Drosophila melanogaster: one gene and its partners. The protein of the gene in region 1 interacts with the protein of each later gene in a pairwise test. Each region holds a gene or a part of one and is shown in the gene's direction. Other genes may lie near its edges.

Region 1 (8,349 bases):
TCTCTTCTTGAGCAATTGGTTTCACTTCCTCTGGCTTAACTTCCTCTGCCTTAACTTCCTCTTTGACCAAAGACAAAGCTACTGGTGGCTCCTTATCCTCGACAATGGCCACAGGAATATCGATCGCCTCCTTGGGCAAGTTGAGTACTCTGGCTTGGCTAATGGCCAGGAAAACCAGGATCAAGGCAACGGGCTTCATTATCGCGACTTATCTCCTATATCTCCTTCGATTTCAAGATGTGTTCACTAGCGCCTCACGGCCGCAACTGTTTGAAATTTCTTTAGGCCCATCGCATTTTATACAAACCACCGGCTGCGCAGCCGCCGTCGACTTTGTTGGCAGACAAACAAGCACACAGGGCTAAGGTATGAGCAAGAGGTTGGGGAAAAGTGGTAGTATCAGTGCCATCGTCTTTGGCCAATTCTTGCACACTGAGTGTCATTGAACTGGACCAAGTTGGTCTTGCATTGCACACAGGAATCGAGAATCAGAAGCCTTTTTGGCCACGAAGCTGCACTTGTAATTGGCCAAGACGTTGGGACAGCGAAAAGGGCTGGGACCATCATCAATCATGTTTGTTTTATCGGCCATCAGTGTTTGTTTTACTCAGGGCATATAGCAGAAATAAGTTTATAGGAGTATAAATAAGAAAATAAAAAAATAAAAACTAATTTTGGGAAAAAAGAAAATAGGGTTTTTTCATTTGAATACTTTTTTGATTTTCAAGATTTTGATTTCAAGATTTTGAATACTTTCCTTGTTTGTTTAGGACTGTAGTTATCTATCTTGTTGTCTTAGGATTAAAAACTGTGATTACTATTAAATTTTACTGAACTGAGATAATCTTGGGATAAGCTAAACATCCGTGAAAAAATCTATTGCTGTGATAATTGCTAAATGTTTTTAAAGGTTACAAAATTTCTCACATTGACCAACTGTGCAGCGATTAGTCTCTGTTGCAGTCTTCCCTGATCATCGATTGGTGCATGCAACTCCCCCTTTTCCGCAGGTTTTCCACTTTTTCACTCTCATTCCTTGTTGACTCGATTCCAGGCAGCGACATTTGATCAGCAGATTTTACTGGTTTTCTTGTTTGGCTAAACGCTCCTACAAGAAACGCATTTGGCCCTATCGGCCGTTCTGCTGACTGGATGGTGAATCTTGAGCTCATTGGATCTTTGGTCTTCGATGGAAACCCGTTCCCCAGACCGACTTAAATGCAGTGTCGAGATGCAGACGCAGACTGGACGGAGAAACCTGCTCCGGCTATTTTTAGAGTCAATTAGCTTTGGACCGACTGTCTCTGCAGGGAAGATGCATCGCTGGGATGCGTTTTCCCCCGGTTCTGGGTTAATAATTCATTAGAAATGCACAGAAACCAAACCAAAACGCCCACAAGACCGGCGAACAAAGCTCCAAATGTGTTCTATGCAAATGAGAACATTTAAATGTAGTTAAATGGGTCAAACGTTTGATGGAGAAAACGTTGCTGTGCATAGAAGGAAAACTTATCTCCTGTCCACTTGGGACTTTCATATGGTGATCGATCGATCGATCGATTGAACCATTTGCAGCTCGATCGGCGGTGGTCAGAACTCGTTCTGTGGCCCTTTTGGCCAACAAGAGGTCTGCAAACAGGCCAAACCTGCAAGGGCCAAGACGATTTACAACCAAAGATGATAAAAAAAAAGAACGAAATTCAACTAAAAAACGAGGAAGCACTGATTTTTAAAAACAGCGTTTCAATACCCTTCAATTCGAGGAATTATAATGATTCTTGGCTGGTACAGCTTGATATGGGTTATAAGTTTATATAAGTTGAACTATTGCATATTGTTAATATTCCACAAGAAGTGCTATCAAGTATTGCTATTAAAGTTAAAAATATAAAACTAATCGCCTGACTATTTTAGTATACCTTTTCTGAGGGCATCAAGAGCAATCAAAGATCGAAGTGGATTGCAAAGGACATTGACTTGAAACTCTGGGATCTCACAACTGATCTCTTTCAGATATTTTATGACCCCAGCTTGTGGCTTTTAATTCTGCAACAAAATTGATTTCGGCAATGGGAAGAACACGTTTCCCCCCGAGTTACAAACAAAAAAAAAAACTCATTTCGGTTCTGTCGATTTTTATGGCTTTTCTTGGAGTTGGTTAATCGCCTTCTTTTTCTCTGATCTCTGGCGCCCAAAATATTTTTGCTCGAGTTTCGGTTTTTAGCTTTGATATTATGCAATTGCTAGCCGTACTCTTTTTTACACAATTGACTGTCGAATTAGCACCTCACTCACATCCAGCGACAGGTGACGATAAGGCGGGCGGGCAGTGGGCGTGGCAGCAGCAACAACAACACACATTACTCTAAACGGTGGCAACTTTCACTCAACAGCCGTGCGGAATACTAAAAAAAAAATCAAAAAACAAATAAATACCCGTGCAAATTGGGTGACAAAAACAGCAACAAAATGTCAGAAAAAAAAAAAAAAAAAACTGGGAGCGAGTGGGAGAGTCAGGCGATCTTCGTCATCCAAAATTACCTCACTTATCAACCTAAGCCGATTGTTGTTGCCGAAATATTGGTGTCATATTTTCTTGTCAAGGTCACAAATTTGTTGTCAAATTGTAAAAAAATGTTTATTGGGTCTAAAACAATAGTGAATAATTGTAAACGAATTTCTGCCAAGGTCAGTTATCCCTTTTGAACTTCGAGAAAAATATAGAAAAAAGAGAGTTTAGCCTTAGAAAAATTTTCAGTGGCTTTAATATTTATGTTGGCTGTTAAATAGGTTTGGAGTCGTAATAAAAACGTTGAATTCAAAAATATTAAAGAACTCAAGAAAATGTTGTATTAAAACTATAAAAAACATTCTGTCAAATAACATGATATTTTTATATATTAACAAAACAAAAATGAAGGAACAATTTTATATTATTGTTATTTGCCCTCAGTTGCAATCCACATTTCTTTAAAGTGCAATATGAGAATTCAGTTATTTCATTGTTTTAAAAACTTTGAAAGCAGGCTGCCAGAAAGTGGAAAAGATGACTTTGACGTTGCCGGATAGTTGTATTTTAATGTACTGTTAACCTTGGATTTTAACTTGTTAGTTTCTATAAGATCTCTAGCTAGTTGCTTTACCGTTCCGATTAAAAGGCTAGAGGAACCGCATTGTTTCTTGAAATTTAGAGAAATTAGTATTGTTCTTGTAGAACTTAAGTCAATACAATTATTTTTTTTTAACAGAATTCTGTTACTTGCGTGCTGTTAAAAGTTAGCAGTATTTTCTGCAAAGTCATATGTTTTGGTATTTCTCAGCTGCGCCGCCTGATTTTTTGGCGCTGACCCCTGCCTGGCCACACTGGCGATGTGGTGTGACCAAATTCGTGCTCGCTCCGCGAGTCGCCGTCAAAAAACAACTGTGAAATTGCACAAGAAACTAAACAAATAATCGCGTAAAATTACCGAAAACATGTGCAGCGGCCGTTAGCAGCGTGCGGCAACTAATCGAGCCAGTGAAAACGTGCAGGTGCGAGCGAGAAAACACGCGTACGCGTCACTAGCAACAACAACAAACACACAGTGCACCAACTCTCGCATAAGCACGCACACACACACACACACACGCGCGCACACATGCATAAACACCGACGCACATGCAACAAAAATAAAATAAAAACAAAAGAGCAAGCGAAATAATAACAGAAATAAATTTGATAAATTCAATTATAAATTAAGGCAGCTGCTTGTGTGCTAAGCAAAAATATTAAATAGAAAGTCTTGGCCACTTAAGTGAACCAAAATTAGAGAAGCAGCAGAGTGCCCAAAATATCAATATATAGATTTGATATCTAAAAGTAACGAAAGTTAACTTAAAACCTTAATGGTGGACAATGGATCAAAAAAACAAAATCCCTACTAAAATAAATTCCAAATACTTGCTAAATGAATGAAACCCGCAAATAAAGTCGATTCTTACCAAGATAACCAAAACTAGCTTCATGACTTTTAATTCTTGTTGTTTTAATTTTTGTGCACTTCCTGGTTACGGAACACCTGGAAAACCCCATCCTCGCCTTTTTCCACGCTGATTAACAAATCTCGCGTTTTTCCCCCCTATCAGCTGACATACGCATACAAAGCCCATCCAGTTGCCACCCCCTACTTCTTGCACCTGTAAAGAACAGGTGACTAATACACTGCTCGCGAAGTTTGTCAGCTGCTGGCGCCGTGGAAGCAACAACAACAAAACTAACCACATCCACATCGGCAACAACAACATCGGCTTTCTACAGAGCAGCGACGTCGGCGTCGGCAGAGGCCTCTGCCTGCACAACACCAGCAACAATAAAATCAAAAACTAAAACTATGGCCACCACCACCACAACAACAACAACAACGGGGGCAACAAATGCTAAAGATGGTGAGTTATATACTTAAAAGGATTTAAGATTAAAGAAAATATATCACAAGAAGTAAAACCCTTAAAAATCTTTAAAAAGAAACAGTAAATGGTGACCCACAAAAAACTGAAGCACAGATGCAAGGGTGCACATACAAACGACAAGTCGGTTAAAGTTCAAGGCGAACGAACAATTTAAATTGCAGGTTTCCGGTCAATGCCACTCTGTGTAATTAAACTAAAGTTAGTTGGTCGACCTAGATATTAGTATAACCTTTGGCTAAGAAAGACTGACATTTAAAGGCAATTAAAGGAAGGTTAGGTTTTAAGAAGAGCCATAAAACTATGGAAATAAACATACAATATCTTTAAATGTTTGGAAGGTTTTTCATTAAGGTTCTTTCATCTCCAGATGGCGGCAGAGAAATTAAAAAAAAAAACAAGTAAAATTCCATAATTCGCCCGCTTATCTGCGCTTTTCCAAAGACTTGCACATTTGTTTGCCCGGTACACAAGGCCGTAATCCTAATCCCTCAAAAGCTTAATCTTTTGTTTTGTATTCCGGGATCCGGGCAAAAAACCCTGAAACAGCAATCCCCACCAACGCATCTGACGTAACTTGTTGAGCAACCACGATTGCTGGCCGATTTGTTTTTGGACTTCTTTTTGGGCTGAGGAAAGAAGAAAAGTTTTATTAATATCAATAACCAAAAGAGCGAAGCGAGGGCAGCGAATAAGGCAAGAAATTAATGAATGCCACTGGTCGCGGGGAATAAATTTGAACAAAAAGCGAGGCACAAAGCAGCAAAAGCAAAACAAACCATAACCAGCTTAACAACGATAATTAAGAAGTGCCGGCCAGCAAAAAAAAAGTGTAAAAAATTACATACGAAATTTAATTGCCAAGGCGGAAAATGGTAGCATGCGGGGGGCAACAAGGGGGTATGGGGCCATGGCGAAGGTCAGCTAGGGGCCTGAAGGTCATAGGCATTTTCGACGTTGTCGTCACCTCTTGAACCCGCTCGAATTTATTGATTTTACACGCAGCAGCCGCAAAAAAGAGAGGAATAATCACAAAAACAACGGCAGCTACAAAATCATGCATATTTCTCGTTGCCCGATGTTTTACTACACCTTGAACAGTGGTCATCGGGTATGGTGAGCTACTTAATTAAAAAAACTTTTCATTATTAAGTTATTGCGAGCAGTAATTGTTAACGCCGCTAGGTGGAGCTCGTGTGCAATCCCGATAACAGTGGCACTCCTTTTAGTTGAATAAATGGTATGTCATAGTGTTGGCACTCCACCAATGTTCTTTGTTTCGCTTCGCGAGCATCCACTGTAGCCTTTATTCATATTTGTGTGCCCCAAACACTGGCACACAAAGCCAAACACACACAGAGAGCGACTTGTGCGGCTTTTGCTGGGCACTCGAGTAGTTCAGTGCGGGGCTTATGCCAAAGGCCAAATGGAAAACCTGCTTTAAGAGCCAGTGAGAGAAGCATACGAATCAGTCCAGCCACTGCAGAGCCCAAATCCCCTCCATGGCCACAGTTTGATGCTGAAATCGTGTGTTGTCTTTGGGGCTTGATAAACTGTAGCAAGCCCACAAAAATCTTCTAATTAAATCAAAGCTAACGGTTGCCGTTTAACGGTTTTCGTTCATAAAACTTGGCCAAAAAATCTAACTCGCTGTTCTTTCTGAGTTTTTTTGTTTTGTTTTTGCTTAGATACCATTGCCAATTTTAGGTTGCCATTTTTATCCCAACATTCTCATTTTGAGAGTCATTTTCTGTGTTATTTCTTATCAACTAAAACAAAAGGCAAAACTTTGATAAGCCAGTTGACACAGCGGGAAACATGATTCATTTGAGTGGTTCACATATTACATGGACTTTGGAATTTTCACTTAATTTAATCAATACGTATGTAGGTATGCACAAGTGATCGTAAATATTTAGAGTATACCTGACAACAATAAAATGCATTTTTAAATACACTGCACTCTAGCAACGAATCTTGTTCAAATATTTATTATTCAATACTATGTATTCGTGAGTATGAAATGTAGTTTCTTCTCATATATCCCCCTTTATTAAGTTATCATCAACTGGAGTAAGGAAACACTTCTTTATCAGCTCACTCTTTCCCTTATCTGATTACTATTTACATAACATTTTTCTGTTTATTCATTTGACTCTTATTTCTTTTATCAGTTGTGATTTTGCTGCTTATCGCGGCAAATGCAACTTTACCCATGGCAAATAAAATAAACAAACATCATGTTTTTTTACACATTTCTCCAACCCAGTTGCCATTTTCAATTAGTGTCTACAGCTGAGGGTCAACACGAAATGCTCTATAGTTTTTTTCAGCATTCAGGTAACCGAGCGCCCAAATCGCTGATAACAGCGTGGTTTTTTTTTAATATTCAAATATTTAATCACAAAGCAGCAAAACCACACACGCGTGCTCTATGCTGGCCTTTTTATTTGTCGTTGGCTCGTCGGATAAATGCGAAGCAAATTTTTGCAATTAGTGGATCGCTAATAAACCATAGTGGGCAACAAATGGAGAAAAGCGGAAAAAAATAAACTCAAACAGCAGTTGGCATATTGACATATCGGTCGCATTCAAACTGAATTCCCACAGCTGCCGATGCTCCCTTTTTGTGTCTTGTTTGCTCGCTTCACGTGCTTCTGGGCCGGCTTCATTTGCCGAATGCATTTCCACCGGCTGGGCAGGCGTCATTTTTCAATTGCCCACCGACTCCTGTCGCTTTCCCAGCGCTTTCCCAGCCACGCCTGGAGTGGCAGTTTGTCATGAGCGAAGCGGCCAGGTGTCGCTTTGCTCAGCGCGCTTCCTGTTGCCCCACACAACACTCCTAAAATAAAGGAAAATTAACTTTAAATGTATTAACTTAATAGTGTTAAACCCAATCAAGTTGTACGCTATTTAATATTAATATGATAGATATTACTGGCTACCTGATTACTACATACCACGTTTGCTTAGTTGATTTTGATTTAAGCTTTCCGAATTCGTTGTGCAACACTTAAAACATCATAATTTTCTAGATACCTACTTGTAATATTTTCTTTGAGTGCATCAATGTAACCCAGGCACACTCAACCCAGCTCTGTTTTCGCGCCGGCTCTTGGGGATTGCAATTTGATTTGTGGGCGAGTCAGTTGCGGTGTGAAGACTTTGGCTAAATTGCTGTGAGACTTTACGCCAGACTTATGAATGAGTTTATTGTGCATTCTAACAACTTAACTGGGCCTTCAGAGGCTGCGAGTGCACAGCCTGCGCCCCGGTTATATTTCACATTTAATTGTAACGACTTGAAGGTGTCAAGAAGTTAACCCAGCTCAAGACCATCGGAATGCTTTAAAAGTGCATTGTTGCACTTTTGGTGGGATAAGTACGAGACTTTTGAACCACAAGTAACTCGAAAAATTGTATTATATTTCACGAAAATAATATCTTTTACCACATATAAGGCATTCCATGACCTCTACCACTTTCTTTCCTGGTTAAGTGAGTCACCAGAATAAATTTCCATAATTATAACCACTCAGGGTATTTAGTTTCCTTACTTGCACCAAAGTTCGCAGCTCATTTGGCATTGTGCACCCGCATGGTGCATTATATTTTACACACGTATGTATCTTCTCAACTTCCCAGCTAATTTGTCTTGAATTTCCCTGGCGCACACCTCACTTAAGTTTCCCTGCTCTTTTCCTATTTTTTATTTTTTATATTTTGTATTTTTTTCTTTTCTTTGCACTTTGGTGCTTCCGCGCTAATTTGCTTAGCGTAATTTGCATTTCGCAAATGCCATTCGAGGCGTGTGAATAAAAAAAAAAAAACAGATACAACAAGAAGGCGAACGCAGGGAAAAAAGTGTAATTTGCTGTCAGACTTTAATGAATGGCCCGAAGT
Region 2 (5,448 bases), on another chromosome or scaffold:
TAGCATGTGTTGAACGATTGGAAGCTGTGGCAAAGGTCTGTAGGGCAATAATAGTTAATAATCTCCATATCCTGGTCGTCTTACTGATGTACACTTACTGTCCTCAGCGCTGGCACGGGCCAGGTTGGAGGCGTTGTTGGCGCCACCGCCTTGGGAACGATCCCAAGCACCCACCAAGGTGTTGGCCACCATCAGGGGGATGTTGTCCTGGTCGGTCCAGCCGCAGCCTTCGACGGCGATGGCGACATGGGCCAGGGGCAGGGAATCGTCGCGCACACGCACCTCGGAGCCGGTGAAGCGGCAGGGAGTCACCTCCGCGGGCAGCACACTGGCCTCCAGGCCACCCAAGCTGCTGCAGGCAAGCTTGACCAGATCATCGTGCTTGACGCCGCCAGCAGCGGCCAGAACGATGCGCGAAGCCTTGTAGTGGGTCTGGATGTAGTCGGTCAGATCGGCCTTGCCAATGGACCTAAATAAATGAAGATTTTAATTAGAGACAGAGCATTTGTTATAAGAGCTGAATATACGTACTGAATGTTCTTGGTGGGTCCCAGGATGGTCTGGCCCAGAGGAGTGCCCTGATAGGCGGTGGCGTGAAGGTGATCGAAGACCACCTCCTGCAGGTTGCTCTCCACCTCCTGCATCTCGCGCAGAATCACCGAACGCTCGCGGGCGATCTCAGCCTCACCCAGCTTGGAGTTCTGGATGATGTCGGCCAGGATCTCGACGGCTTTGGGCACATCCTTGGACAAACACTTGGCGTAGAAGACGGTCTGCTCCCTGGAAGTGTAGGCGTTCAAGTGGGCGCCCAGGTTCTCAACCTCCAGCTCCAAATCCGTTTGCGAGCGCTTGGCGGTACCCTAAAAAGTGGCAGAAACGCATATTATACGCATTTAAAGCATCAAGCTAGTGAGCCAACCTTGAAGGCCATGTGCTCCAGGAAGTGGGCCACTCCGTTGTTCTTCTCGTTCTCGGAGCGCGACCCAGCATCGATCCACAGTCCCACGGTGGCGGTAGAGGCACCGGAATCCTCGCTAGCCACGCGGAGACCGTTGTCCAGCTTGGTCACCTGGGTGGCGGGTATGTTCAGCAGAGTCTTCTGTAGGGTGGCAGCCGACTTGTATCGCTGTAAGTTCGGGAAAATTGGGAAAACTATAGCCCAGAGTTAAGTAAAACACGAACATAACCTCAAAGTGCTTGTAGTGGGTTTTCCAAACAGTTTTCCCAAATATTTGTTTGAAAAACTGGATGGCTCTTGAATAACTGACCAACAAGAGGTTGTTTATCCCTTTTCTCACAAGAATAAACCACAATTGCAACCAAAAACACAATCATTTACAATTACGTAATTTAAATCCTCGGAAGCGTAATCATTGGATGGCTGTCTGGACTTACTTTGATCATGTCAACGCCCCGCATGAAGGAGCGCATATTCTGCGTCACGCCAAGAACTCGCAACGCCATCGTTTTATTAATTCGTTCAATAGCCTATTACTAAAAAATATTTAAGACTTTTTCGTCTGTGGCCGCGGCGCTGATGAAAAATTCACACACACACACCAATGTACTGCGCTGCGCAAAGTTGGCTGCGGCCAGTCAGCTGTTCGTGGAAAATAGCCCTGGTGTGCACACACTGGCTGAAACGGCAACACAATTTTTTCGTTTTTCCTGGTTTTCCGGCTTGCTATTGAAATAAACACCTAATTTGGATAGCTAACACGAAAATATTGGCCGACCTAATCAGCTAGGCCTACTAGTTACGAAATGGCGGGCAATTTTTGGCAGAGTTCGCACTCGCAGCAGTGGATTTTGGACAAACCCGATCTGCTCCGGGAGCGTCAGCACGATTTGTTGGCCCTTAACGAGGATGAATACCAAAAGGTGTTTATTTTCTTCGCAAATGTGATCCAGGTGCTCGGCGAGCAGCTAAAGCTGAGGCAACAGGTCATCGCCACGGCGACGGTTTACTTCAAGAGATTCTATGCGAGGAACTCCCTGAAGAACATCGATCCTCTGCTGCTGGCGCCCACTTGCATCTTGCTGGCCTCGAAGGTGGAGGAGTTCGGTGTCATTTCCAATTCACGACTGATCTCGATCTGCCAGTCGGCCATTAAGACAAAGTTCAGCTATGCGTACGCTCAGGAGTTTCCCTACCGCACCAATCACATCCTGGAGTGCGAGTTTTACCTGCTGGAGAACCTGGATTGCTGCTTGATTGTCTACCAGCCGTACAGACCGCTGCTGCAGCTGGTTCAGGACATGGGCCAGGAGGACCAGTTGCTCACCCTGAGCTGGCGTATCGTAAACGATTCCCTGCGCACCGATGTCTGCCTGCTCTATCCTCCTTACCAGGTTTGTGATCCTGATAATTTCTACAGCTTCCTCACATTTGAAGAACCTATTTTTTTCTAGATCGCTATAGCCTGCCTTCAAATCGCCTGCGTCATCCTGCAAAAGGACGCCACGAAGCAGTGGTTCGCAGAATTGAATGTTGATTTAGACAAGGTCCAGGAGATCGTGCGCGCCATTGTAAATCTGTACGAGTTGTGGAAGGACTGGAAGGAAAAGGACGAGATTCAGATGCTGCTGTCCAAGATTCCGAAACCGAAACCACCGCCTCAGCGTTAGAAGAGCTTCATAATCATTCATCATTAGCTGGTATTGCCCAATTGTGTGTTTGTACTCATATTACCAATGTATTTATGCCAATTAAACGAAAGTTTAAGCTAGGTGACTAAGCAATCAAAAATGTCATTTACAAATTATTTTGCCTTTATAATAATTATTTCTAAATTAAATTACATAATTGCTTAAGATTAACATGCGGTACGGATCGTCTGGATTTTTTATGGTTCATTTAACCTACAGATACTTAGCTTGACCCCTGGAGAACTTGGTGTTCAATATCTTGGCCTTGTCTACAATCTGCTTGGTCTGATTCTTGTCGATCTTGTTAAGTTTCAAGTCCACATCCCTACTAAAAGGTCTTCGTTCTGGCTTGGAACCCGATGCAGCCAGTTCTTTTTCCTTAAATTTATAACAATATTATATCCATATTATGTTTTTAAGAAATATTTTTCCTCGTACCTTTTCTCTCTGCTCTTTCCTAAGCTTTTTTTGATGTAGCTCCACTAGGGACTCCTCTCGCTTGTGCTTCTTTTTGTGCCTCTTGGCCATGCTCTCCTGCTCGTCATCCCGCTGCTGTTCGTACTTGACCTGTGCCATTTGCTCGAGTTCCTTCGAACTGAGCGACTTTGGGCCCGATGCAGCAGCATCCGCTTCACTCTGCGGGGTCTTCGTCCAGGATGATCGATCGCTAAAGTCGGGTCGCTCTTTTCCCTGATAGAAAGTGCGCTTCATATTGCTCAGGGCGGCAAGGCCGCTCTTCAGTCCCACATCTGGCAGCTCAAGCATCCACTCTTCGCGGACATCTTGGTCTGTAGATGTACCCAATCCCCCGCCCTCCAGAGCTGCCAGTTTAAGTGCCAAAGCACGTTCCTCCAGAGCCACTTGACTGGCATTTGGCAGAGGACCAAAGGTGCCAGCTAGGTCATCATCGTCCTCAGCTTCCGCTTCCTTAGTAGGAGACTTTTCCCGGGTCAAATTGCTGGGCAGGACGGGTCCTATCATGGCCTGCGGTTGTGGGGCTGGTTGGCTTTGCTCAGGGAGTTCCGGCTGCTGGGTCTTCCTTAAATGCGGCGGTAAAGCGGGACCAAAGGAATCTTCGTTGTTTGTAGCCACATCTGGCGGAGATGCATTAATTAAATGTGGAGGTTGCGTGTAAGGCACAGGTGGCTCCTCCTCATGCTTGCTGCGTTTCTTCTCCTTGTGGCGACGCTTTTCTTTCTTGTGCTTTTTCGACTTCTTCTTTTTGGACTTGTCCACATCTTTGCTGTGCTTCTTAAGCTTCCGTTTCCTTTGCCTTTCATCGCTGGACGAATTGCTATCACTACTATTGTCGTCGCTGGACATGATCTGCAAATACAATTAATGAAATAATAAGTAAACCAAGATATTCCTGAGGTTATAAAGAGGTCCATTGGATGTGAAAAGAGAGAATCCCCAAGAAAACTCAGGTCTTTGGATTGGGCTAAACATTATATTGCAGTTAACAACTTTAAAGCTTAAAAGTATTTAACAAAATGCAGCTGGATGGGACAACTTAGTCGGTAGAATGATTGGCAGCCAGGGGATTAACCCGAAAAATAAACCTAAACAGCGAATGTCTTTTGAGCCTTGCGATAGCTATACGCCAATGACTTGAGAATGCCAGCACTGGGAATATTTTTGATCGATTGCGTGACACTGCTGCGCCACACAATGTCGTTGACGGATGCCTGCAGCACCTCCGGAAGCTGGGAGGCCATGGATAGGTGATTCACCACCTGGGTGTAGTCGCCACGACAGGCGGCATTTCGCTGCAATCGCTTCTGAAGCTCTCGGGGCAACTGTCGCAGGTGTTGGCATGTAGCCGATGAGGATTTGTCCTGCTCGAAGATTATGGCTGGTTTCCGGCTCCCTGGTTCCTGGCCCTTCATGTTTACCGCCACATAGTCGGAAAGTTGTCCCAGGGAGGGTTGGTATAGGGCGAAGAAGTCATTGATTTGCGGACTAACTATGTTGTGCACTTTCTGTTTGTTTTCCCCGAAAATCATACGGAAATCGCCCTTGTAACTCAGTCCGGCGATGGTGTGGAAAAGTCCGTAGGCAGTGAACTTCTCTGGTAAAAGTAGCAGAGCCACTTGCAGCGCGGATACAAGATTCCTCTCCAGCGCAGCCTTGAGGGGAGGATTATCAGAAGGATTGACCAGATTCGTCACTGGTTTGTGCAGCCTTCCTGCCAAGTAAAGATGCCGCCAGTCAAGCAGATCCTCCAGCAGCTCCTCCTGCGACACCACGCCGTACTTTATGGTAATGCCCACATCTGGCAGAGGCACCAACGTGTTGCAATAGACACCCGCACCCAAACGCTCCTGATACTTGGCCACAAAGTTCGGTCCCAGGTGCCTAAGGGCGGAATAGTGGTCCGGATGACGGTGCAGGTTCTCCGCATGGAAGCCCCTAGCATCACGAACGCAAAAGACCAGATCCACAACGGTTCCCGGCGGAGGACGCAGGTTGTTTCCATTGCCGACTTTTCCATAGCCTTCCTGCTGTTTGACGCCGGATCCGTAGGCGAACATATAGCTGACACTGCCCAGAGGAAACCGCGCCACCGTGCGTCTGTATAGGTCCAGCATCTTGTGCGTGTTTTACCTCCTAATTGGACTAAACTTAGGCTTTATAATTACTTTTTTTTTAGCACGTAACTCCACTTCTTCTGGATGGAGTTGATGCTTCTCGGTCAAGCTCCTCGCTTTTCGCCGGCGCCGGAGGGGTGTACACACTGGCAATCAGCTGGCTGAAAATTTTGTTCAGGGTTTCACTTGAACAATTTAGCGCCCTCTT
Region 3 (8,267 bases), on another chromosome or scaffold:
GGCAAAGATTTCAAAAACTTTCCACTCTACAAATGCACATAGCTACCTATACGATGGGATATATAATATTTATTGTTAAGAATATAATAGTCACGTTTCTACAAAACATATTTATTTTTATACATGAGCGCGGGACAAAAGTGAGAGCAGAAAGTGGAGGGCTTGAGTCGCAGGAGGATTTGATTTCCTTTCGTTTCGGTTTTCCTTTTCCTTAATCAACTTGAAATGTTTTCAAACGTTTTTCAAAATGTCTGATAGCGGGACCATTCTTTTAAGATTTACCACTGCTCTTTACCAATTTGAGCAGGGCGAAAATCGTAGGGAAATTCGAGGTGGAAAAGCCGCCGAGCGATAGCAGCAGAAAGTCAAAGGGCAGTGGTAAAAGTGCTTAGCAGTAAGGTACCAAATTATCAGCTGAAATTGGGATCATAGCTTTATTAAGGTAGTCGATAAATGTACGAACAAATCGTGGTTGCAGATGTGTATAGCGGATGTCTACTAGTAGCCATAGCCACAAATTAAAAACAAACACGAACAGAACAGACAGAACAAACAAACGTACACAGCAGATTAATCTACTCCTAAACATTAATGGGATAAATATAGCGCCAGAATACCTATTATGCGGACCGTAAATATTATTGAACAACCAGTGTATGTTAGTGTATATCAAACTTGAACGCTCAAAGCGATGCGCATGCATATATCGTATATATACATATATATATATATAGCGACCTCTCTCGAAAATCTGTACAAAGTCCTGATTAATATAGCGTTAGGCTGCAGACCCTCGAACAAAACAAAAAAAAAAAAACCGAAAAAGTTGTTATTTATCTCTGTTGAAAAATGGGAAATCCACAGAAACACTAATCGAACGTATGCAAACGGATATATATAAATATATATGAGGTTTACGATTCAATGTTATTAGCAAAAAGTAGTCTAGTAGTATCATTAACACACACATAGACATATTATATAGTTCCGGCCGATGTGCAAACTTGTTAACGAGAGAAACTTAGCTGATGGAACAATATGAAATACACACTTGCATACGGTAAATAAGTTGAAAGCAATCATTACATTTAAACAATAAATATAAACTACTTAACTATAAAGTCCCTAATGGAAAAAAAATATATATAAAATACATTTTGTGTAAATACAACTTGCACAGGATGCAAAAAGATGTAGTATATTAGCGGAATGCACTCTAACTAAAGGGAATACTGTAGCCATCCCACACCAACTAAAAACCGAAGGAATCGCATATTACTGAGATCTGTAAATAACTTTGTTTCATCTGTTCATTTCTAGCCCAGTTATTTATATATCGCATAAGCAAACTAATTGTGTACTTTACAAGTTATCTCGAAACAAAAGCCTACTAATGAAACGTTTTTAATTTTCCTACTATGTTAAACTCAACATTTAATATGCATAAACTAACGGCGATGGTCTAAAAATTGCAAAACAAGTATTTGAGATAAAGGGTATATGGCTGAGATGTATGCTTATTACGAAATACTTTCAAGTAAATTATAATAACACCATATGACTTTTAATATACTAATAAAAATTCTTATTAAACCTAACTGGGGACGGTTTTTTTTTAAAGGAGTTTACATATTTTGTTTAATTAAAGGCCCGCCCTTTTTTTGAATTTAGTGCTGCCACATAGTCATGTGTGATATCGATAAGTGGCGTTTCAGTACTTTACTTATCGACTTTCTTACATTGCCCTTTTATATATCCTTTTGTTGTTATTATTGTAATTGTGAATGATCATATATTTCAGGGACTAATTTATTACTTATTAATAATATTTAAGATTTTACGCAATGTTTTTAAAACTAGGCACTAGAGCATTTATCTGGTATTTTTATACCGCAAAATGCCATCTCTTAGCCGGATGGTGTTTTTGTGCTAACCATCAACGGGCACACCGCCACTGATATCTATCGATATTTATAAAATACGATACATTTCATTTTCGAGCAGGTAATTAAACAAAAAAACGCGAGAAAACACCAAAGATGTGTGAAAAGTGTTGCATTACTACCTTGCCCAACTGACGGCCATCGCCTCATCAGTGAGATAGCCACCAATTAAGCCTAATCACCCAATAATCCCGATTTGGTAGTCATTCGTGGGTGTTTCTCCGGGCAGAGGCCGAGCAGCGCTGCCGGCGACGACAGCGGCGCCAGCGTTCATTCATTCATTCACTGCAATGATTAATGTGCGGGGAAAAAACAATTCAAGTGATTTGAGCAGAGATAGTAGGAATCTAGGAACTGGGCAATCAGCTGCCCACCCGGTGACAAATTATCCAATATCTCCGGCCTTCCGCGCCGTAAACAAAGTCACAAGCTTCGCTGCCGCCCCGCCCCTCCCAGAAATGGGAAGAAGAAGAAGAAGTTAGAGTCGTGCTCCCCACACAGAAAACAAGAAATCGGCGAAAATAAAGCAAAGACCTCGCCAAATTAGGCAATTAGGTTAATTAACTTTTCGCACAACAATCTGGCCGGCCTTTAAGCCAAAACGATTCCGCCTATAAACAGAGCAAATATAAATGGTAGATAGTGAAAATAGCACAACTTGCAGATCGAATGCTGAAATACCCTAACCAAAGTAACCCTCCTAGGCTAAGTTCGATATGCATGGCATATTTGGTTTTCGTCATGTGACTTCTTTCACGTTATTATCTTTAAAAACAACAAAGTTTTTATCATATCTACAGCTGACTTTCCCTACAATTTATATGATAGAAGTGCCCCCAAACTTTCAAATCAATCAAATAGTCAGTCTTATCAGGTCATTCAAATTTGTAGCACTAGAAAGTGTTATTAACAATAGTTTAAATGCCACCACAAGTAGTGAAAAAGTAGTCAAAACTTCTCTAAAATCGAATAGCACCCTCCCCAAAAAAGGGCAGTGCAATTAATAATGGGTTATGGGATGAGAATGAGAACAGATTTGCAGATAAGATCGAATGAAAGCCGAGGCTAAGCGTTATCTATATACATACATATACTCTTTGCAGCAAACGCTCGACGACGGGCAGCGGTAATTGTGGAGCGATAGAAACGCCAGCGCCATGCCCATAGACATAGACGCACGACGACCAAGTGCCAAAAGCGAGAACCGAGCGTGAGCGACTGCCAGGAGCAGGATCCGTAACCACGGGGTCCATCCGCTAGTCAAGAGAGAGTGAGCAAGCGAGCGAGTGAGTGCCAAGCCAAGTTTGCATTTAGTTTGAGCGCCCGACCAACCGAACCAATCCGAAACGGCAAAATGGGCAACAAGAACTCGTGCTGCGCGTACTCCAGTCCGCAGTCGGACCGCAAGTCTAAGGACATGCCGCCCGTCTTCGAGGAGCGGATTATCCAGCTGGGTCATCCGCCGCACACGTCACAGCACCAGTTGGACGGCCACCATGGATCCGCGTCGGCGGTGCACCTGCATCACCATCATCACGGCCACAATCAGCAACAGAATCAGCAGGGTGGCGGCGGTGACAACTATGAGAACCAGCAGAATCTGCAGCACATCTCCGAGCGAGAGGCGCTGGAGGGCGAGGAGGATCCGTCGGTCGATCCCACTGCAGCCACCATGTTCCTGGAACGATCAAAGGTGGAGAACGGCGGCATGACGCGCAAGCGTTCGCAACAGCAGATTGCCCAGCAGGCGGGCAGCGGCGGCGGAGGAGGCGGCGGCGGTGGCGGCGGCAGTACTCCCGGTGGCAATAGTTGCGGCGGTGGTGGCGGCATGAAGAAGAGCTCCTCCTGCTCGACGATCTATCTGGACGACAGCACTGTGTCGCAGCCGAATCTTAAGAATACGGTCAAATGCGTCTCACTGGCCATTTACTATCACATCAAGAATCGGCAATCGGATCGCCGGCTGGACATCTTCGACGAGAAGCTTCATCCGCTGACCCACGACCAGGTGCCGGATAACTATGACACGCACAATCCGGAACACCGGCAGATCTACAAGTTCGTGCGCACGCTCTTTAACGCCGCCCAGCTGACGGCCGAGTGTGCGATCATCACGCTAGTCTACCTGGAGCGGCTACTCACCTACGCCGAGCTGGATGTGGGACCCTGCAACTGGAAGCGCATGGTGTTGGGTGAGTGGAGTGCTGCAAGCATCAGATATTCAGAACAAGCAGTAGATCACTAATTTGGTATAGCTTACTAATTTCTACTATTGATGTTCTGCAGGTGCCATTCTCCTCGCCTCAAAGGTGTGGGATGACCAGGCCGTTTGGAATGTAGATTACTGCCAAATACTCAAAGACATCACCGTGGAGGACATGAACGAGCTGGAGCGCCAGTTCCTCGAGCTGCTGCAGTTCAACATCAATGTACCGTCCTCGGTGTACGCCAAATACTACTTCGACCTGCGCACGCTCGCCGAGGCCAACGAGCTCAACTTCCCCACGGAGCCGCTGTCCAAGGAGCGGGCCCAGAAGCTGGAGGCCATGTCGCGTGTGATGCAGGACAAGGTCACTGCCGAGGCACTGAAGAATGGGATCAAGAAGTGGTCCTCCATGGACAACATCAGTCAGGGCGGGCCGCGACGCAGCGTGGCCATACTATCGTGATTTATATTAGCTTACTAAAACCGAACAACCAACCAACAGCAGCAATGAGATCCGTACTCTGTAGTCCGTAGTCCGATCGAACGTCATTTGAGAACCGTAGCTCTGCGCTGAATCAGATTTTGCACACAGATTCAGATACATTTCGTAGGCCACCCGGTTGCATAAGCTTTTGCGGGTGGCTTTTTAGCCAGCACACAGACTCTAAAAGGAACACCCAAATACGTGCAGAAAGAATCACAGTCTTATATACAATATATACATACACGAAGAAAAGCGTTTTAACCACACGTCTCGAATTAAGGACCACTTTTTACATATACGTACATGCGATCGATGTATGTAAGCGAAACTACCGATGCAGTCATGGATTTGGATGATGATTTTAAACAGAGACACAGAAGTACTACTACAGCAACGCGTAACCAATTGCCAAACGAAAGATCACAGAAGCAGAAAGAGATACAGAAACCTAAACCGAACAGTAGAGAATTGTTTGTACAAAACGGCTTAAATAATATTGTAATTGACTTGGCCACCTAATCCAGCTGGCATCTAAGCAATTTAATCTCAACGGTTGGCCACGGCCACCAAATTGTCATTTACTTAGCGCGTCCGCGCCCAAAAAAAGAAAAGAAAAACATTTCCCTGTACATTTGTTACGAATTTAATTTGTTTACCTTACATCCATGTTTTCTTAATAACTCAATATGATTTCGTGTGATTCTTATATAGTTTCCATTTAGCTTTATATACGATGAACGATATTCGGCTTCCCCGCGTCAGGCTTCAGGCACAAATCGATTTTCTGGGGGCGCGGCCTGCGGCAAGTTGATTTGTTTTTTTTTGGTTCTTAGCATTAGAAAAACAAACAAAATCCGAGCGAGAGTTGCAAGGAGCACAGCGCAATATTAACCCAAAAGATTTGTGAGTAAATTAATGTACTAGACATATAAGGATACGAATTATATGCAAAATGTATTTTATTTTGTAATTTATTTTACGATAAAGCTAAATAAAAGCAAATCAAAGAAATAGACTTTCTATAACTTAGTTTTTGTCACTTTTTTTTCGAAAACGTGGGTTTTGAAAACGAAAGCGCGCTTATTCGAAGTCAAAAACATGGCCATATGAAACAGAAAGTTTTTGAAACATTTTTTTTTTTTTATATAGAAAGGACTTCTGGCTATTCTATGTATAAAAACATTTTAGAAACATATCTTATTCTAAATAAGAAGATCGATCATAGGATTTCTTTCGAAAATCGTATAAAATGTATTGTATAATCCACTTATTTTCTTTCCCTCCCACAAAATATGGATTCAAAAATCTCGAACAAGATTATGTGGAAAAGTATTGATAATCACCTAAACACATTGATTTTCAACATTATAAATACTCCACTTGCAAATGCAAAAAAAAAACTCTTTAGAAATAGTCAAGATCCTACTATTTAAGTTTATACTTTCAGAAAATCTTATAATTCCAATTACACTTTATAACTTATTAAATTTACGCTGCTAATTATTTTTATTATTTATAAAATACTTTACGAAAAACTTAATTTTCAAAGCTATCGACGCAGTGCCATCCCTAATTTGGTATTTTTGTGTATTTGGTATATTTCAAAATTACATTGAAAATAAAGCAGCCCGGTCACACTGCCAGCTCTGGAGAACTATCGATGTCATATCGATACTTCTTCCAGCTCTATACACTGCTTCTCTCGCTCTTCCGCCCGCAACTAAAACTCTGGATCCGCGTTAAATGTTAAGAAAATAAAGGCACCGCTCTAATTAAATGGCCAACCGCAAGTGTACAGTGCGCGCAATGCAGTTAGTGACCAGTGGAGAGTGATGTGCAAGATCGGGCCACGAAACCAAGATCGCCATTGAGCAATCCGGGAACGGCGTCTGTTGAAAAGGGACGCTGCTGCAGGCAGAAAAAGGAGTGGTAGCTCGCTGGTCTATGGATAAAACGTAACTATATCGCTGGTGAGTGCAATTCGAATTGGCGACTCTTGCATTCGTATTCAAATTGGCCAATTGGACCCGGCCGAATTTGTGTGCTTAACCGTTTTGCCGCCTTTTTGTGCCCAAGCCCCGAAAAAGCAGCACAACAACGGGAGGGGGTTGGTGGAGGGAGCGGCGGAGACAGCGGCAGCAAATCGTTAATAAGAACAACGCAATCGCACGCACACACACACATGCGGGCTCGAGCACGCATTGTATCTGTATCTTGCGGTGTCTCTCGTAGTCGCTCTCGCTCTCTCGCTGCCTCCACACCTCTTGCCAGTGCTGGCCACTTGGATTCTCTCTAGCCAGTTTTTGTAATTGGAGTAAGTGCAGGTGCTGCTTGGCTAGTTATCTACTCTGAATGCTAAAAGTAGTTTAAGTTTTCATCTAATATAAAAATTTGTTGAAAGGGATACTTTAATCAGTAATTTATAAATGCTTTTTTGACTTTTTCCATTTGAATATAAGGTTATAAAGATTAAATTGAATTATTTTAATAAGTGTTTTAAATTTTCATGTATTCCGATCAGATAAACCGCCTTGTTATTAAAGTTATTTTTCTCACTGGCTTATGTAAATGTTAACTTTTTTTAGCATTGGATTGGGATTATTGGGCTTTTTACAGCTCTAAGCTAATCAACTCATTACCTGATATTTGTTATGCCTTTGCCATATTATTAAAAAAAACTTATATTTGATATTTGACTGTCAAATTTTCAATAAGATAATCAGATAGCCTTGTTATTATGCCACACTTAGGAAGTTCAATAAATAACTTTTAAATATAAGAGTCGAATCAATTGATCCCTCGTCAAAGCCAAACCGCCTGCACTGGCTCTCCCACTGGACTTTTGTGCTTTCGGCTGCCGCCCGAACGCGCCGCACGAAGAACTTTTACATCGGTCGCCTTTGCCTGCTCGCCTTCTGCTGCCTCCGCGTCTCATTCAGTTTTCAGTTTGCTTTGCTCTGTTCGCCGTTCACCACCGCCTCTCACCCGCGCGGCGTTTCGATTCTGATTGCCACTACTGTTGCACACACACACACACATTCGCCGGAGAGTGTGCCCGCCACCACCACCGTTGCAATATCAAGTAAATTTTCATATACTGGCGTCATAAGAACGAACCGAACAACCTTTTTAAAGCTTGTAAAAAATGCAGTGTTTTGTACGAGGGGAGAAGCTGCTAGAGGGGGTGGGTCGGATATGATGGGATGGGGAGAGGGACAAGTACCGGGGCTGATTGGAAACAATTGAGTTTATTTGTGAAATTCGCAGGCCAAAAAGAATGCGAGAATTATTAATCAAATGACTTTGCGGTCGACTTCGCTGTCAGTGTATTGGTGTGTGAGTGTTTTTGTGTGCGAGTGCGAGAGTATCTGTGTGTGCTTGTGTATGAGCTGCGCGCACATCCACAGCTACAGAGTTTCCATTAACGTCATCATCGTGTCATTCTTGCAAGTTTTAGAGCGAGAGAGGGCAGACGCAGGGTTGCATTTTTCTAAAATTTATTAACTATAGCACTTTAAGCGATCGGTGGCGCTTTCCGTATTGGCACTTTTTTCGCCGCCATATGTTAGAACCCAGCTCCCGATTCCAATTCCTTTAGCTTTTCCAATTGTGCTCAGATGTGTGCCTGTGTTTT

The links. The genes of interacting proteins can lie anywhere in the genome.
Region 2: the proteins of Eip63E (region 1) and CycC interact in a two-hybrid assay, tested with the Drosophila melanogaster proteins (2 studies listed by BioGRID).
Region 3: the proteins of Eip63E (region 1) and CycY interact in a two-hybrid assay, tested with the Drosophila melanogaster proteins (2 studies listed by BioGRID).

Annotation. Positions count from the first base shown.
Region 1 is NT_037436.4:3,512,404-3,520,752, forward strand, and holds the start of Eip63E (Ecdysone-induced protein 63E), read left to right. Parts: upstream 1-3,347; 5' UTR 3,348-3,531; exon of another isoform or gene 3,532-4,125; 5' UTR 4,126-4,370; coding exon 4,371-4,425; intron 4,426-8,349. Other genes in the region: ImpE2 (Ecdysone-inducible gene E2), read right to left, coding at 1-199.
Region 2 is NT_033777.3:14,886,374-14,891,821, reverse strand, and holds CycC (cyclin C), read left to right. Parts: upstream 1-1,616; 5' UTR 1,617-1,764; coding exon 1,765-2,352; intron 2,353-2,412; coding exon 2,413-2,628; 3' UTR 2,629-2,818; downstream 2,819-5,448. Other genes in the region: UQCR-C1 (Ubiquinol-cytochrome c reductase core protein 1), read right to left, coding at 1-37, 99-469, 532-860, 920-1,126, 1,396-1,464; CG33332 (uncharacterized protein), read right to left, coding at 2,863-3,027, 3,088-3,972; CG33331 (uncharacterized protein), read right to left, coding at 4,212-5,240. UniProt on the Drosophila melanogaster protein: Component of the Mediator complex, a coactivator involved in regulated gene transcription of nearly all RNA polymerase II-dependent genes.
Region 3 is NT_033779.5:11,807,462-11,815,728, reverse strand, and holds CycY (cyclin Y), read left to right. Parts: upstream 1-1,948; 5' UTR 1,949-2,004; intron 2,005-3,046; 5' UTR 3,047-3,297; coding exon 3,298-4,135; intron 4,136-4,229; coding exon 4,230-4,612; 3' UTR 4,613-5,637; downstream 5,638-8,267.